Saccharomyces cerevisiae S288C: one gene and its partners. The protein of the gene in region 3 interacts with the protein of the main gene of each other region in a biochemical or structural test. Each region holds a gene or a part of one and is shown on either strand. Other genes may lie near its edges.

Region 1 (5,061 bases), on a different chromosome or scaffold from region 3:
ATATGTAGATAAAATTTTAGTGTCGTTAATATCTCTTTTATTTCTTATTGTTACTATATTATTACTGTTTTGAAGTTCCAGTTTCATCAACTTTTGCTACCTTAATTAAAAGAACCACTCAGACTTTTTACCATCCTTTAGCTTTACCTAATATAATGAAATTTGTCTAAGTAACATAAAAAAAAGGAGTAAAGAAAAAAAAAAAATAAGTAAATGAAATAAAATATAAAAAAATTCTTACTACGGTTTAAAACAAAGTGCTCTTCCGCTAACGTTTCAAGTTTCTAAAGAATCGTTAGGGCCTTTTAACGGATCGCTTTTTTAAAACAGTAAAACGTTATTTATAGTTATTTATACCAACTATTTCTCGAAATTCGTTTTTAAAATAACTGCCATCTTTACTGCTCTTCTGCTCCTTCCTTTGACATGAAAAAGCAATCAGAAAGAAATAGTCTAATAAATTGTTATTATGTACACATACTCTTATACGTATAAAAAACGGTATAAATTAAGTAGATCATTTTGCGTTGTCTGTTACCTGCCCCCCTTGGCCAATCTCTTGGCTCTCAACTTTTCAGCCATAGTCATTTTCTTTGGACCAGAAGATGGAGTTGGGGTTGCTGGGGTTGCTGGAGTAGCTGGAGTAGCTGGGGAGGACCCACCAGCTGTTCTACCGGCTAGTCTCTGTTCGATGGCTTCTTCCATTTCTCTTTGTTTTTGAGCGATCATATCCAATTTAGCTTTATCTGGAGAAACGGTCGCCTTTGGTAGAGTGCTTGGTGTACTTGGAGGTTCCCTGTTTCCTGCGCGGAAAGAGTATGGAGTTGATTTCTTGGCAGCAGCTTCTTCGATTTCTCTTTGTTTACGGGTAGCCTCAGCGAGTTCTTGAGCACGCTTCTGTCTTTCAGCATTTGCAATTTCTTCCTTACGCCTTGCAATGGCTTCCTCGTAACGACGCTTACGAACTTCTTCAATTCTGGCCTTTTTGGCAGCTTCCAATTCAGCCTTCTTTTGGTTGCGGATGGCAGCTAATTCGCTTTCCTTAGTGCCCGAAACATGCTCCTTGAACTTCAAATAATCATCATAGACCATGACCAAGTTCTTACGATCAGCCATTCTGGCTTCGTATTCGGCCTTGGCGGCGTCGACAATTTTTTTCTTCATAGCTTCATAATTTGCTGTGTCTGTTTCTTGTAGCTTGTCAACTTCTTTTTGCAGCAATGGCAATTCGACCTTTCTCAAAGCTCTTTCCGTATGATCTAACTTCTTCATAGCATATTCCATACGACTTTCCAATTCACTCTTGTTCTTTGATACCTCAGCTATAATAACCTGTTTAATGGTGTCAAGATCTAAGCTTTTAGCTTCGTTAGGGTCAATGTAAACATGTCCCTTAGCATTCACCTCAGTAATCATCTTTGTGATTTCTCTTTCTTTGATAGCTTCAAATTCACGTTTCTTCTTTTCAATTAAGCGACGGTGAGCCTCTTCTTCCAATTTAGCTTCAATAGCAGCTTTTTCTTCCAAAATACGCTGTTGTCTGACCTCAGCATCCTGTTCAGCATGTAGGGCAGCATGTTCCATATGTTTTTGCTTTTGCTCTTGAGATCTCTTGACACGTTCGTCAACAATCTTGGAAATCTTTTCAAGGTCATCCTTGTTCTTCTTAATTAAAGTTTCACGGGCAATTCTAACCTTTTCCATGTATGAAGCATTGTTGAAACTGTCAACATCGTGTAGGACATTGGATAATTCAAGCAACTTGTTGTGGATGTAAGAATTGCGGATAATAACAGGATCAGATTCTTCTTCCTTTTCTTCACCGTCTTCAGTTTCTTGTGGCCCAAGAGCTTCGTCAGTTTCCTCCTTTTCTTCTTGGACTTCTGGCTCTGTGTTTTCTTCTTCAGAGACTTCTTTAGAAGCAGTTGATGCGAAAATGTCAAATGGATCTTTAGCGAATGTAACCTTAGCAGATTCATGATCGATGGTAATTGAAACATAATCTTCCACAGCAGCTTGTAACAGCGATTTTTCGATGTCCCAAGCAGATAAGTCTAACGGAGCAGGTAGGGTAGCGAGCTTGTATAATTCGGACTGGGAGACAGTAGTGAATTTTTGAGAGGCAGCAACAAAAACCCTTCTCATAATGACGTCTCTTAAAGGTGCGATGTATTGGCTGAAGTAGGTTTTAGAAGACAATTTGACTAATAAATTTTCCAGCTGTTGTTTCACTGTGTCGACATCAAAGTTAACTTCAATGATATCGTACAATTCTTTCAATTCCTCGTCAACTTTACCATAAATGGATTCGTCTTCAATAATGGATTGCAACATTTCCTTTCTAGTTGGCTTGGCGTCCAAGTTTAATAAACGGTACATACGTAAATGAGGATCGTAGCCAATAGATGGAATTTCGTCTAGTTGGGTAGAAATAGCGGATAGGAAAATTGTAGAAGAATATGTTTTGAATTCTTCTTCCGTGGCTCTTGGATTGGTAGAATATAACTTATAAAACTTCTTCCAGGCAGTAGTGTGCAACAATGGATCACCGGAAACAAAGAAGACCTTTACGAGATTCTCGTAGTAATTAGCCAAAGTAGATGGTTTAGGAGCACGTTTGGATATTTTCATTAAGTGGAAAACATCCTCAATGGATCTATAAGCCTCGTGCCACAATTCCAACTTGACAGAAACATCGACTTGTTGGAAACGTTGATCTAAATAACGTTGCAAGGTATCAGCATCGCTCAAGTCAACTAAATTGTTTCCTGATTTACTTTGTTGGTAGTTAGCAGCATCTAAATGTTGACGTAACATTTCAGCTAATCTCTTGAATTCGTTTTTACGCTGATACTTCAAACAGAAATGCATAGTTTTTTTAACGACACCAGAATAAGTAATTTCCAACAAAGCGTTGTTTCTCAATAAATCTAAGACTGCACGATATGATTCCCAAGTAAATCTTAACCATGAAGTAATGGCTTCATCATTGAAACCAGCCACAGATTGATCTGACTCGTAAACAGAAATCAGCAAATTTTCTGGGGTAACACCACCTTCCAAATCATCATCGATTTCTTGCTTTTGAAGTTCGTCAGCTCTAGTTTGTTCAGAAGCGATTTTAGATTCGACTAAATCAATGAATTTACGTGCAACGGCACCGACAGAAACCAAACCTTCGGTAGATCCTTGAATTAATTTTTTGTACTGGTGCAAACCGTCTTTTAGCAGCTTACCTTTCTTTAGTTCAACACCAATTTCCAAGAATTTAAACACGACTGGCTCAACAGTTGAAGGTGTAGCCCAACGGATTCTTCTGGCAGTTATGAAATCATGCAAAGATTGTAAAGCAGCTTGTTTTTCGCCAACAGAAATAAGTTCATCGGCTCTCTTAATGGCATTTTCAGGACGGAATGGTGGGGGGGCCATCTTGATGTTTCCTGGGCGTTTGTATGGTTTATTTTGGAACTCTCTCTATAGTTGTAAGTATATCTACTTTCGATTTAGTTCACCAAGAAAAATTTTTCACCTGGCAAAGCTTCTCGGGCAAAGCGACTGAAAAATTATCATCTTTACCCGGTGGGTGATAATTATGACAGGCAGATTCCAATGACAGAATAAAAGGAAAGGATGCCTTGGTTTTGATAATTTTATAAAATTTATCACTAAAATATATACCATAGAGGAAAGAACTTGTTCACTAGATCCTTTCTGATTGGAAGGGATAAAGAATAAAAATACAAGGACATGAAAAATTTGAAATAATTATGCGGATTGGGTCATCAACTCAACAAGCTCGTTCACGGGATCTTCATCGTGCCTTGCGGTTTCAATGTTGGTCAAGGTCTTTTTAATACCGACATTGAAGTTAGGACAGCTCCTTGATAATTCATTAATAACTTTAACTCTACCAGCATCGTCAAGAAAGTTTGATTCTATCATGACGTTGTTCAATTCATCTAAATTGGTCATATTTGGAACTGCTATCTCATTGTCGAAGCAACTCAAGATATCCATTTGTTGAAGTACCGAATAAGCTGATGTAGTAGTCATGATCAATAAACGACGGTCTTGTGGGGGTTTACGCTTCAATGCAACCTTTAGCATTTGTAAAATGTTATTAGAGAATCTTGGACCAATTGGTACCCAATCAACTAGAGTCTCTAACGAATCAATAACAAGAATGTTTAGTGGAGATTTATACGCATCTCTGAAAGTGTTATCAATATAGGCAATTTTTGCGCTTTCTGACATGCCTGACAACTCGTTGGGAGAAATTAACCTGATGAATGGGAATCCAGATTTTAAAGCAATTTCAGCGGCTAAAGCTGTTTTACCGGACCCTGCAGGGCCGTGGATTAATAGAGATACTAACCTGGATTTATCACTCTCGCGAACTTGGCGGACGTAACGGGCTCCGTTCTTCAATATTGAGTTAACTCGTTCGGAATAAAGCATCATTCCACCTTCCACACATGTTTTCAAATCTTCTTCACTAATCCCAAAAGCGGGAGTAACATCGTTGAGTGCATTTAAAAAGTCTTCTCTTGTTACTTTAAGTTTTGCTATATCTTTAGTGTTAAGTTTTGTGGCACCTTTCCCGATGTTGACGGTTTTGTTGATTGCAAAAGAACTTGCACTCTTCACTAAACCCTCAATCTCAGCACCAGAGAAGTTTTTTGTTAACGCAGCTAACTCAGCTAAGTTAACATCGTCGCTCATCATATTATTTTCCCTCATTTTCTTCGTCTGAATGTCGAAAATTTGGAGTCTTCCTTTTTCATCGGGTAAATGAATTTCAACTTGGACTTCAAATCTACCTGGACGCAAAAGAGCACTGTCTATTAAATCTTTACGATTGGTCATACCAATAACCAAAATATTATTCAATTGATCAACACCATCCATTTTAGCTAACAATTGATTAACTACATTGTCCCCTACACCGGTACCATCACCTCTTGAACCTCTCTGCTTGAAAACAGAATCCAGCTCATCGAAAATAATAATATGTAAGGAAGATTCCTCACCCTTGGCCCTATATTCTGCTTCTGCATCCTT
Region 2 (4,834 bases), on a different chromosome or scaffold from region 3:
TTATCCCTTATCGATACTGTTGTTTTCAAATATGGGGGAGATTGTTCTTCAAGCTCGGGTATCGGTGTTTGGACCGGTGTGGACGTAACTGTTTCAATAGCAGTACTATCATCAACAGCCTGTTCTCCTTGTGATTGTAGGTTCGATGGTGTGCGGGTCTTTTTGCATTTGATCTTTCTTCTCCTTGGTTTGGCATTGTCGTCGTTGCTGTTACTCCTATCGAAAAGTCGAGACTGAATCTTGGTTATCGTAGCCAAATCGTACTGGCTGGAATCTAACACTGTTTTAGGTAATAGATTGTGGGAACAGTAGAATGGCTTTACCAATTGTTTTGATGATACGGTTGATGACTTTGGTTGTGGAAATGATTGCGAAGAGTAGTAATTGTTTAAAGAGGGCATCCTTGATATAAATCTGTACAAGTTTTGTCTTTCCAAGCAACCAGGTATAGCGGAAAGAGAATTCATCACAGTGGAATGTAGTGACAGTGTTGACCTCGACGACACAATGCTTGAAAGACGTAGCATGTTTATTGGAGAAAGCTCTTGAAAATCTGATCCGTCCAAGATTACATTCCTAGACATTGTAGTTTGTTGATGATGATGCTCTCTTTTACCAGGGATGGTACTGGTGCTCTCGCCGCGATTGGTGAACCAGTTCTGTGACGTGTTGAAGATCAAAGAAGGAAGAACATCCTTGAACACTACATGCATGGACTCTTTTAGCCTTCTCTCAATGGTGCTTTGGAGAATTTTTACAGAACAATCAAACTTAAAATCCAAATCAACGTCATTAAAGGATATCCCAATTCCAGGGTTCTTTACAAAAATATTCGTGATGGCTTCTAGCTCGATGGAACTGAACGTCATAGTTATAGGAATTGTGAACGATCCATTATTGATGAGCTGGGGCATGGTAAAGCTGGGTGTATCCTGTTCGTTAATCAATAAAAGATTCGACTCTATGACTGTCTGTATCCGCAACATAGCATCCTTACATGAAATCTTGCAAATCCCCTTGGCCAGAGACTTGGGCTGCGTGATAATGTCTAGGTCCAGAATTTCTAGCTGTGGTATTGTAGGAAAATCCACCTTCTGTACCTTAATTCCGCTTTTCAAGATATCTAATTTCTTTTTAGACGGTGAGTTCAAAGCCGTAGATAACTTTTCCCGTATTCGTTCATTGAAAGAGTTATCACCAAACACAGCTTCGTTGAATCTAAATGACATGACGATGCTGAAGTTTCTTGCAGTTGTGTTTTTTTTGTTATAATTGTTACTGTTTCTATGTTTTACGAATCTTCCATGACTCTTCTAATTGGTCTCTTTTTACTACAAGGCTTCATGGCCCTTTTTCAAACCTAATTTATAAGTTCTTTGCCCTATGCTTAAAACAGTTTAGCCCTATTTAATATAGTACAAAAAAGGAAAAACCTAATTGAAAAAAGCTATTCACCCTAGGTCATTACTACTTTTTCCCTTAGCTAGCCGTGTTTTTAGTTTTTGTTTTGTTTATTTTACCTGTATTATGCCTTGTTTGATGACTTTAGTATGGGTTTGGTTTGTCTTATCCTTGGATACAAAAGGACCAGATACATTCACGTCTGGTCGGTAGAACATCGGTATCCAGTATAGTGTTCAGCTGTTCCTATAGAGACAAAATTTATAATCTGCGTGTAACAAATATCTGCAGGTTAAAAAAGTCCAGATCAGTGTTTCGAAGCTGTTGATTTTTCTTTTTTTTTTTTTATATTAAAATTTTCATATTCCCTGATTGCATCGTTTATCTGATTATCATTTCATTGCATTCTTTAACTACTTGAGTTTTCTTTCCAGCTGTATACTATTGACACTAACATGAACGTGCCTGAAACAAGACAATCCTCCATAGTCGTAGCTATAAGAGTAAGGCCCTTTACGTCAATGGAAAAAACAAGATTGGTCAATGAAGCTAGTGGTGCAGAAGCTAACTTTCCCGGTTTGGGGGATTCGTCGTTAATATTACCCATGAGTAATAACTCCGACTCCGATATAGACATAGACGCTGAAGAAGGTTCTACGCGGAGCAAAAGAAATAGCTTGCTGAGGAGAAAAGTAATTAGACCGGAGGGTATACGTAAAATTGTGGATTGTGTGGATGATAGAATGCTCATATTCGACCCAGCTGATAGAAACCCATTGAACAAAGTGAGTGATCAGGTCCTGAACTCGATGCGTGCAAGGGCCACTAAGGCCACTGCGTCCTCTATCAATAACAGCAATGCTACGAACAAATTTTCTTCGCAACGTCGAAGGCACGGTGGCGAAATCAAGTTTGTATTTGATAAATTGTTTGATGAAACCTCTTCCCAAGCCCGTGTATACAAAGAGACCACCAGCCCGCTCCTAGATTCTGTTTTAGATGGATTCAACAGTACCGTATTTGCTTACGGTGCTACTGGTTGTGGCAAGACATATACTGTGAGTGGCACACCTTCACAGCCGGGGATCATATTTCTAGCCATGGAGGAACTATTCAATAAAATTACAGACCTGAAGGACGAAAAAGACTTCGAGATTTCACTGTCTTACTTGGAAATATACAATGAAAGAATCAGAGACCTTTTGAAACCAGAGACACCATCTAAAAGATTGGTCATTAGAGAAGATACGCAGAACCACATCAAAGTGGCGAATTTGTCGTATCACCACCCAAATACGGTAGAAGATGTGATGGACTTAGTTGTCCAGGGAAACATAAACAGGACTACGTCACCGACGGAAGCAAACGAAGTATCTTCACGATCTCATGCAGTGCTGCAAATACACATCATGCAGACAAATAAGCTTGTAGACTTGACCTCGCAACATACATTTGCTACACTTTCAATAATCGATCTAGCTGGGAGCGAAAGAGCCGCCGCAACAAGAAACCGTGGTATAAGATTACACGAAGGTGCGAATATAAATAGATCCCTACTAGCACTGGGCAATTGCATTAACGCGTTGTGCTTGAATGATGGCAGCAGAAGCTGTCATATTCCATACAGGGATTCCAAGTTAACTAGGCTGTTGAAATTTTCACTGGGTGGCAATTGCAAAACAGTCATGATTGTTTGCATATCGCCCAGCAGTTCACATTATGATGAGACATTGAATACTTTGAAATATGCAAATCGTGCTAAAGAAATAAAGACCAAAATAATCAGAAATCAGCAGTCTTTGAGTAGACACGTTGGATCTTATTTGAAAATGATTACGGAACAAAAGCGACAAATCGAAGAGTTACGCGAACGTGAAGAGAAGATGATTTCTTTGAAGCTAACGAAATACAAACTAAACAAAGAAAAGATCCAGTTAGCCATTAACGAGTGCGTCAATCGTGTTCAGCAAACGTATGCAGGAGTGGAAACGTATCAAGTAGCCAAGACCTTGAAATCATTAATACTTTGTAAAAGGCGGTTTTTGCAAATGGTCAAGCTAGAAGTGGATAATTTGATACTATTATTTGAACGGGAGGAAAGTACAGCCGCCGAGATGCAGCCGGTGATTAGTAATTGCCGAATGATCAGTGGTCAGCTTTATAACAAAATACACGAGTTAGAAATGAAATTTGATGAAACCGACACTCTGAGTTCCGTCATTCATCAGGTACATTCCATTGACTTGAACAAGTTAAGAGAGATGGAGGACTGGGATGAAACTTACGACCTGGTGTACTTGGAGTCGTGTTTAAATCAAATATCAGAATTACAAAGAAACGAAATCTTGGTTAATTCCTCCATAATGACAGAAAAATTAATGTCAGATCCGGGTTTGAACTCCCGATTTAAATTTCTATCAAAGTGGCTGATGAATAGGACACCTAACATTGAATCCATAATTCAAGACCTGGTTCATATCGACGAGGAGTTTGAATCTTTTGCCAGAACTTTTATCGCCAATCCCGATAGCAATTTTACAAACACAAATATAAATATAATAAACACGACGGCAGCTGACTTGGCTGTTCCCGCTGAGACCCTACAACGGCAAAATTTTTCCCAAAAAAAAGTAAAGTGGACGAGTCCCGACCTTAGTCCCAGCCCTATGATTGAACCACAACCGGAGCTAGAACCAGAACTACACCAAGATCAAGACGCCATTGCAAGTGAAGTGGACGTAAGTATGCAAGATACCACATTCAATGAGCAGGGGCCCTCGACCCCCTCCGCTCCGACTACAGCGGTTCCAAGAAGGAAGATGCGCTCCTCCCTTCTTACTCATCAAAGTCTACTGGCCACTGCCAGGAAATAACATACATATCCTACGTAAACTATCGAATATAACTTCTTTCCGCCAGCATTAAACGCATTTATGTTGATTAATTCCGGGTTACGGGAAAAATTTTTCTTTAATTTCTTTTTTTTGAATTTATTTGGCACGAGAAAAGGTTCAAAGTGAATAATTGCTTTTAGTCATTAGACACATTACCTACTTTCTAAGAGATTCTAAAAGAAACTAAGCACCACAAATCATTGATCTTTTAAGAAAAACGCACAAGGATCATATACTAGATTCTCGTTCTCGTTTTTTCTTCCTTTTTTTTTTCTCTAAAGCCTTTTACTGGGTTAATTTCCTTTATTGACCCAAATTAAAAGAAAACGTTTCTCAGGAGACTCTTTTAAGCAAAATTTAGCAAATTTGTGTTTGCTGTTGTTTTTACAGAGACTGCATTACTTGAAGGTTTGCCTTTAAGTCTTCGAGTCGTTTTTTTTTATTAACTTTAATCCTTTTTCTGTGTGTTTGTGTATATTCAGTGGGGTTATTTTACAGTATTCGAAGAGACTTCGTTTCACACATTTAAACCAGCTTTA
Region 3 (3,743 bases):
GGTTTTCGTATGAAGGTGCCTTAAGTCTTGTGTAGAAGTAGTTCTTTAGTTAAGATAGAACCTGGTAAAGACTCAATGGACTATTTACATGTATATAACAACAACCAGGCGCACGTTCCCAGAACACCTCCAGGCAGGCAGTGCCTATCGCCCGTTCTGCCCCCAATCATATTGGCGTTAGATCAACAACATTCGCTGACATTTGGGTACTCCAGCCCCAGGTGCTTGCCAACACCCATATTGCCTTCTATGAGCACAAATACGCCCGTCCATTGGTCACAACAGGTTGTCACTATCCCTGTCGCTGTACGAAATCATGCCGCAATGATGCCTATTATCACACCTATGACCTCCCCAAGACCTCAGTTTGAAGCAACGGCTCCCTCACCCCCTTTGGCCCCGGTCGCCATAAAGCTGCCAGATTTGAAACTACCACCGTCGCCTGTGCCCAGCACAGTAGAGGACAGAGTTTCACATCCTATCCTGCCCAAAATTGTGATCGGGAATGGCGGCGGCCGTGATGTTGAGCGAGATAGTACCGAGGAATTAATTAGGAAGATTCCAAACTACATTGGTTGTGCAAAAACAAAGGCACAATTGAGCAAAGTTAGGTCTGGTAAACAACTAATTGCATGCGCACAGGAATATCACCATCCAGTAAACAAGGACGAGATCGAAAATATCAACAACATTCTAAACTTCAGGGACTTTATTTTCAAGCATCCAAAATCCTCCTTCGAGTTCCTATGTACCCTGTCGTTTGAGCAGTTCGTTAGAGTATATTCATTCATTAGTTTCATCTACAGGACAAAGAAAATCAATAAGAACAAGTACGAACTCGTTTGTGAGATGAATGTTCACGAGCAACTCAGCAATAAGCGTATACAAAGAACAAGGACTCCTGAAAAGTACAAAATACATTTGATCTGCGAGTCAAAACTCATACTGACCTTCAACCACTGTACGAAGACAGTAAAATTTGAGTCTATCAATGGCGGGCACTGCCATCCGATTTCAGCCAACCACATTATCAAGCCCTCCCTCTTCCTTACCCACTGCATTAATAAATGCTACCAGACCGTGTCAGACCCTACCGATTTGAAATTGGCATTGAGAGACGCCTTAGAAGCCCTTGATCATGAAAGGATAGGATTGTCTTTCTTAAAGAGGAGACATTTCAAGTGCTCACACCAAGCATCATCACTCTCGAATGCCAGCGCCACATTGAAGAAACAAGAAGATCATGACACATTTGGTGTACATACAGGAATAATTCATACGGCAAATTTCTTCATGTTTAATGCATCTAGCGATATATTCCAGAGGAACTAACATATATAAATATCTGTATCCTTCTTTAAGAAAACACAATTGCATACTTTTTCCATTATAACTGACTGTTTCAGATCCTGCAATAGAAAGTATTTTTTAAGTAATGAAATAGTGCTTCCATTGATAGTAAGTGAGTAATAAGACGATCGGAAACTATTAATATAAGTATAGTTTACATATATATATATATATATGTGCCAGACGATAATATCACCGTAGTTTCCGGCCGGGTTATGCCACGCGAAAACGCCTCGAGCCAAGGGAAAAACTAAACTACAAAACAAAACAAAACAAAACAAAAACATCTACTATATCGTTTTACCCAATTCAGTATATCCGTCTACAACAGTTCTCGCCACCCAAGATCTGTAAACTTACAACTGCAAACAAACAATGAGAGAAGTTATTAGTATTAATGGTATGTTCGATTTGCCCGTCCAGGCTAGATCTTTTTTTTGTTAGTTCATTTTGGCGTTTCATCTTTCATTACTAACTTCAACGCAAAATTTTTTTTTTTTTGATTTCTCTTTACAGTCGGTCAAGCTGGTTGTCAGATTGGTAATGCCTGTTGGGAATTATATTCCCTTGAGCACGGTATTAAGCCGGATGGACATCTAGAAGATGGCCTTTCAAAGCCGAAGGGAGGAGAAGAGGGTTTCTCCACGTTTTTCCATGAAACCGGCTACGGTAAGTTCGTTCCAAGGGCTATTTACGTGGATTTAGAGCCCAACGTTATTGACGAAGTCCGTAACGGTCCTTACAAGGACTTGTTCCATCCAGAACAGTTGATCAGTGGTAAGGAGGACGCGGCTAATAATTATGCAAGAGGCCATTACACCGTTGGTAGAGAAATTTTGGGCGATGTTCTGGATAGGATTAGAAAACTGGCAGACCAATGTGATGGGTTACAAGGGTTCTTGTTTACCCATTCTCTTGGTGGTGGTACTGGTTCCGGTCTAGGGTCCTTACTGTTGGAAGAACTATCCGCTGAATACGGTAAGAAATCCAAGCTGGAATTTGCCGTATACCCTGCTCCACAAGTGTCTACTTCTGTGGTTGAGCCTTACAACACAGTTTTAACTACACATACTACATTGGAACATGCAGATTGTACTTTCATGGTCGATAATGAGGCTATTTACGACATGTGCAAAAGAAACTTGGATATCCCAAGACCAAGCTTTGCAAACTTAAACAACCTAATTGCTCAAGTGGTATCATCTGTTACAGCATCATTGAGATTCGACGGTTCATTAAATGTAGATTTGAACGAATTTCAAACCAATTTGGTTCCATATCCAAGAATTCATTTCCCCTTAGTTTCATATTCTCCAGTCTTATCCAAATCAAAGGCATTCCATGAGTCCAACTCTGTGTCAGAAATTACAAACGCTTGTTTTGAACCTGGTAACCAGATGGTCAAGTGTGATCCAAGAGATGGTAAATACATGGCTACTTGTCTGTTATACAGGGGTGATGTGGTAACAAGAGATGTTCAAAGAGCTGTCGAGCAGGTGAAAAACAAGAAGACCGTCCAATTGGTTGATTGGTGTCCAACTGGTTTCAAGATCGGTATTTGCTACGAACCTCCAACTGCCACACCAAACTCACAATTGGCCACTGTGGATAGGGCCGTCTGTATGTTGTCAAATACCACATCCATTGCTGAGGCTTGGAAGAGAATCGATAGAAAATTCGATTTAATGTATGCCAAACGTGCTTTCGTCCACTGGTATGTCGGTGAAGGTATGGAAGAAGGTGAATTCACCGAAGCTAGAGAAGATTTGGCTGCTTTAGAAAGAGATTACATCGAAGTGGGTGCCGACTCATACGCTGAGGAAGAGGAATTTTAAGGTTCACTCTCGCCCCCAACCTCCTTATCCTTTCTATATTTCAAGTATATTGTAAAAAAAAAAATTCCCCCTACTGTTATATCTCTTTGGTGATATCTTATCTATAATCTACTTATTATATTTCTCTAATATCTATGTACAAAAAATAAAAAAAAAAACCATTCTCCTTCTCTAACCTGCATTTGATGAAAGCTTAGTAAGTCTCATCGTAGTTGATGGGCCAAAGACATTTGTACTTGTTTCATCAGATTCTTACATCACCCATTTCCATGATTATTTCACGGATTTCATTAGTAATTGCATTTTTGTATCCCTAGTTCCTTTTCTCCCGCCTTGCCGTCGAATTGAAAAAAAAAATGGAAATGAGGACATCTTCCATTGATATCCAGGACAAAGCAAGAGTAGAAGTAACTATTAGCAAGGAGAATTCCAAAAATAGTGAACTTCAAGGTAAGCAGATCTATAGTTTCAATATCTGATTTTCTGCTTTTCAAAACTTAAAATTCATTAGAAGGTAAAACAAGAACCCGTAAAATTAAAGTTACCGATATTATCAGG
Region 4 (4,773 bases), on a different chromosome or scaffold from region 3:
AATTTTTTTATTTTGATTATTATATATTATTATTATTCTTATGGTAAATAATGCCCCTACTTTTCTTCTAAGGAAATGAGTTACTACAAAAATAAGGAAATATCGCCTGCAAGCGGTTTTTATTTTGGAGTTGTTTTTTTTTTTCCCACAATAGCCTCTAGTTTATTCCATTCTTAGCACTGACTCTTTTTTCCGCCACTATTTCTTATAAAAGGCCCGAATTTCTGGCACGGACGTTGTTTTTAATAATAAAATATTGAATGACAGTTAAAAAATCACGTAGTCAGTTAATCTGTTTAACTTGAAAATATGTCTGAATCAGTGGCCATTATAGGTGCAGGATTAGTAGGCTGCCTTGCAGCTTTGGCATTCTCCAAAGAAGGCTACAATGTCACACTATATGATTTTAGACAAGATCCTCGATTGGACACCACCAAAAATAAAAATTTGAAATCCATTAATTTGGCTATTTCTGCTCGTGGCATTGATGCTCTGAAATCAATAGATCCGGATGCTTGTGAACATATTCTGCAAGATATGATTCCCATGAAAGGCAGGATGATTCATGACTTGAAAGGCAGACAGGAATCACAATTGTATGGCTTGCATGGAGAAGCTATTAATTCTATCAATAGATCTGTATTAAATAATAGCCTTTTGGACGAATTAGAAAAATCTACAACAGAACTGAAGTTCGGTCACAAATTAGTCAAAATCGAATGGACAGATGATAAACAAATCTGTCATTTTGCCATTGGGGAAGATTTGAAAACCCCACATACTGAAAAGTATGATTTTGTCATAGGTTGTGACGGAGCATACTCTGCGACGAGATCGCAAATGCAACGTAAAGTTGAGATGGATTTTTCACAAGAATATATGAATTTACGTTACATTGAACTTTACATCCCGCCTACTGAGGAATTCAAGCCAAACTATGGCGGAAATTTTGCAATAGCTCCTGACCATTTGCACATTTGGCCTCGTCATAAATTCATGTTAATTGCGCTCGCCAACAGTGACGGCTCGTTCACTTCAACCTTTTTCGGTTCTAAAGATCAAATATCAGATCTGATAACTTCCAAGTCACGTGTGAGGGAATTCTTAATCGAGAACTTTCCCGATATTATTAATATTATGGATTTGGACGATGCTGTCAAAAGGTTTATCACTTATCCAAAGGAAAGTCTTGTCTGTGTAAACTGTAAGCCATACGATGTACCAGGCGGAAAGGCCATCCTACTCGGCGACGCTGCCCATGCAATGGTTCCATTTTACGGCCAAGGTATGAATTGCGGATTTGAAGATGTGAGAATTCTTATGGCGCTATTGAAAAAGCATTCAGGAGATCGTTCAAGAGCCTTTACTGAGTACACTCAAACAAGACATAAGGACCTAGTTTCTATTACTGAGCTGGCAAAAAGGAACTATAAAGAAATGTCACATGACGTTACATCCAAGCGGTTTTTATTAAGGAAAAAGCTAGATGCTCTCTTTAGTATTATAATGAAGGATAAGTGGATACCTTTGTATACAATGATATCTTTCAGATCCGATATCTCGTATTCTAGAGCTTTAGAAAGGGCTGGAAAGCAAACACGTATCTTGAAATTCTTAGAATCTCTGACACTCGGTATGTTATCTATTGGCGGTTACAAGCTTTTCAAATTTTTGACAAGAGAACGTTCCTGAAGCCAGTTTATTCTTGCCATCCGTGTACGCTAGGAGAGGATTATTAAAATAAGTGATATATACATATATATATATATATATATATATATAATACACTAATTATTTTATGTGATGTTGATCACGCGAAACGGTAAACGGCTCTGTTCGCGCTTTCTTTGTTTACATTTTAGTGAAGTATTGTCAAGATAATATCCATATGGTTGAACTTTTTATATTGGCTAGTTAAATACTCTATTTATTGCACCAAAAAATCATCTTAGTGGACTTTTTGGAGCAAAAAAAACCAGCAGGTAGTTATATAAGATGACTACACAACTAAGGTATGAAAATAACGATGACGATGAAAGAGTAGAATATAATCTCTTTACCAATAGATCCACCATGATGGCAAATTTTGAAGAATGGATCAAAATGGCTACAGATAATAAAATCAATTCCCGAAATAGTTGGAATTTCGCATTGATCGACTATTTTTATGACTTGGACGTTTTGAAAGATGGCGAGAATAACATCAATTTTCAGAAAGCATCTGCAACCTTGGATGGGTGTATTAAGATTTACTCTTCGAGAGTTGATTCAGTGACAACGGAAACAGGTAAGTTATTGAGCGGGTTGGCACAAAGAAAGACGAATGGGGCATCTAACGGAGATGACAGTAACGGGGGAAATGGTGAAGGGCTTGGAGGTGACAGTGACGAAGCAAATATAGAGATTGATCCCTTAACTGGTATGCCTATATCTAATGATCCTGATGTGAATAACACTAGGCGGAGAGTGTACAACAGAGTTTTAGAAACAACATTGGTGGAGTTCGAAACGATCAAGATGAAAGAGCTAGACCAGGAATTAATAATTGATCCATTATTCAAAAAGGCCTTGGTTGATTTCGATGAAGGTGGCGCCAAGAGTTTATTGTTGAACACATTAAACATAGACAACACTGCAAGAGTCATTTTCGATGCATCAATTAAGGATACACAAAACGTAGGGCAAGGTAAACTTCAAAGGAAAGAAGAAGAATTAATTGAAAGAGATAGTTTAGTAGATGACGAAAATGAACCTAGCCAGTCATTGATAAGTACTCGTAATGACTCAACCGTAAATGATTCCGTTATTAGTGCACCTTCCATGGAAGATGAGATTTTATCTCTTGGTATGGATTTTATAAAATTTGATCAAATTGCGGTGTGTGAAATTTCAGGATCGATTGAGCAACTAAGGAACGTTGTCGAAGATATTAATCAAGCGAAAGACTTTATCGAAAATGTTAACAACAGATTTGATAACTTCTTAACTGAAGAAGAATTGCAAGCAGCTGTCCCAGATAATGCAGAAGATGATAGCGATGGCTTTGATATGGGCATGCAACAGGAGCTGTGCTATCCAGATGAAAATCATGACAATACATCACATGATGAACAAGATGATGATAATGTCAACAGTACCACAGGAAGTATATTCGAAAAAGATTTGATGGCATACTTTGACGAAAATCTAAATAGAAACTGGAGAGGGAGAGAACATTGGAAAGTACGAAATTTTAAGAAAGCAAACTTAGTGAATAAAGAATCCGACCTGTTGGAAGAAACGCGAACTACTATAGGAGATACTACTGACAAAAACACAACGGACGACAAATCGATGGATACGAAGAAGAAGCATAAACAAAAAAAGGTTCTGGAAATTGATTTCTTCAAAACGGATGATAGTTTTGAAGACAAAGTCTTTGCCTCAAAAGGAAGGACAAAGATTGACATGCCGATTAAGAACAGAAAGAACGACACACATTATTTACTGCCGGATGACTTCCATTTTTCCACTGATAGAATAACAAGATTGTTCATTAAACCGGGGCAGAAAATGAGTCTGTTCAGTCATAGGAAGCATACCAGAGGCGACGTTAGTTCGGGGCTTTTTGAAAAAAGCACAGTTTCTGCCAACCATTCAAATAACGACATTCCTACTATTGCAGATGAGCACTTTTGGGCGGATAATTACGAAAGGAAAGAACAAGAGGAAAAAGAAAAGGAGCAGTCTAAAGAGGTTGGTGATGTGGTGGGTGGAGCGCTCGATAATCCGTTTGAAGATGACATGGACGGTGTTGACTTCAACCAAGCTTTCGAAGGAACAGATGATAACGAGGAGGCCAGTGTGAAACTTGATTTACAGGATGACGAAGATCATAAGTTCCCCATTCGAGAAAATAAAGTTACTTATTCAAGAGTTTCGAAAAAAGTTGACGTAAGAAGATTAAAGAAAAACGTATGGAGATCGATCAACAATTTGATACAAGAACATGACAGTAGGAAAAATAGAGAACAAAGCTCTAATGACAGTGAAACCCACACAGAAGATGAATCAACAAAGGAGCTCAAGTTTTCTGATATCATTCAGGGTATAAGTAAAATGTATTCGGATGATACACTAAAGGACATTTCAACAAGCTTTTGTTTTATATGCCTTCTACACTTAGCCAATGAGCATGGGTTGCAGATAACTCATACCGAAAACTATAATGACTTGATAGTGAATTATGAGGATCTAGCGACAACACAGGCAGCGTCATAGTTGATGATCTTTTTTTTTTTTTTTTTTTTTTTTTTTGTGCTGCAAAGTTTCTTAAAGCCTTCGGGCTTACGAAATCCTTTATCGCCGAAAGGGGACCGCTTCGAAAAGTGGATATAAAACAAGGTATTTATTTTTATAGACAATGACCAAATGACAGGATAGATCGAGGGTGAGTTCCAATATGTCCAGAACTATTCCATTTCTATTTAAATTAGTCAACAGGGCAGTAATTTTGCCTACGGCAGGTTTTACATTAGGAGTTGGTGCGTTTGTAAAGGCGTGGCCCGATGATGCCGGTGTTCTATCATTGAATGATCCGCAAACGCCAGCGGAGTTGATTAGTGCGACCAAGAGCCGCCAACCTATGGAGCTGCAGAGGGTTGACATCCTCGCTCAAATCGAGAAAAGCGAGGTTTACAACAAGTTGGCCCAGGATGAGAAGATGCACCATGTCTTATTCAGTGAGAAAATACCAAGCGGGCATAGGGAATATCATGTAGGACAAGGCCTCTT

What was found.
Region 1: the proteins of TUB1 (region 3) and RPG1 form a complex in vitro, tested with the Saccharomyces cerevisiae proteins (one study listed by BioGRID).
Region 2: the proteins of TUB1 (region 3) and KIP3 form a complex in vitro, tested with the Saccharomyces cerevisiae proteins (4 studies listed by BioGRID).
Region 4: the proteins of TUB1 (region 3) and BRN1 form a complex in vitro, tested with the Saccharomyces cerevisiae proteins (one study listed by BioGRID).

Annotation. Positions count from the first base shown.
Region 1 is NC_001134.8:394,849-399,909, forward strand, and holds RPG1 (translation initiation factor eIF3 core subunit a), read right to left. Parts: upstream 3,430-5,061; coding exon 535-3,429; downstream 1-534. Other genes in the region: AAA family ATPase SEC18, read right to left, coding at 3,766-5,061.
Region 2 is NC_001139.9:83,029-87,862, forward strand, and holds KIP3 (tubulin-dependent ATPase KIP3), read left to right. Parts: upstream 1-1,856; coding exon 1,857-4,274; downstream 4,275-4,834. Other genes in the region: ERMES complex subunit MDM34, read right to left, coding at 1-1,229.
Region 3 is NC_001145.3:97,383-101,125, reverse strand, and holds TUB1 (alpha-tubulin TUB1), read left to right. Parts: upstream 1-1,725; coding exon 1,726-1,750; intron 1,751-1,866; coding exon 1,867-3,185; downstream 3,186-3,743. Other genes in the region: YML083C (uncharacterized protein), read left to right, coding at 76-1,332. UniProt on the Saccharomyces cerevisiae protein: Tubulin is the major constituent of microtubules, a cylinder consisting of laterally associated linear protofilaments composed of alpha- and beta-tubulin heterodimers.
Region 4 is NC_001134.8:38,836-43,608, forward strand, and holds BRN1 (condensin subunit BRN1), read left to right. Parts: upstream 1-1,995; coding exon 1,996-4,260; downstream 4,261-4,773. Other genes in the region: BNA4 (kynurenine 3-monooxygenase), read left to right, coding at 310-1,692; MRX3 (Mrx3p), read left to right, coding at 4,442-4,773. UniProt on the Saccharomyces cerevisiae protein: Regulatory subunit of the condensin complex, a complex required for conversion of interphase chromatin into mitotic-like condense chromosomes.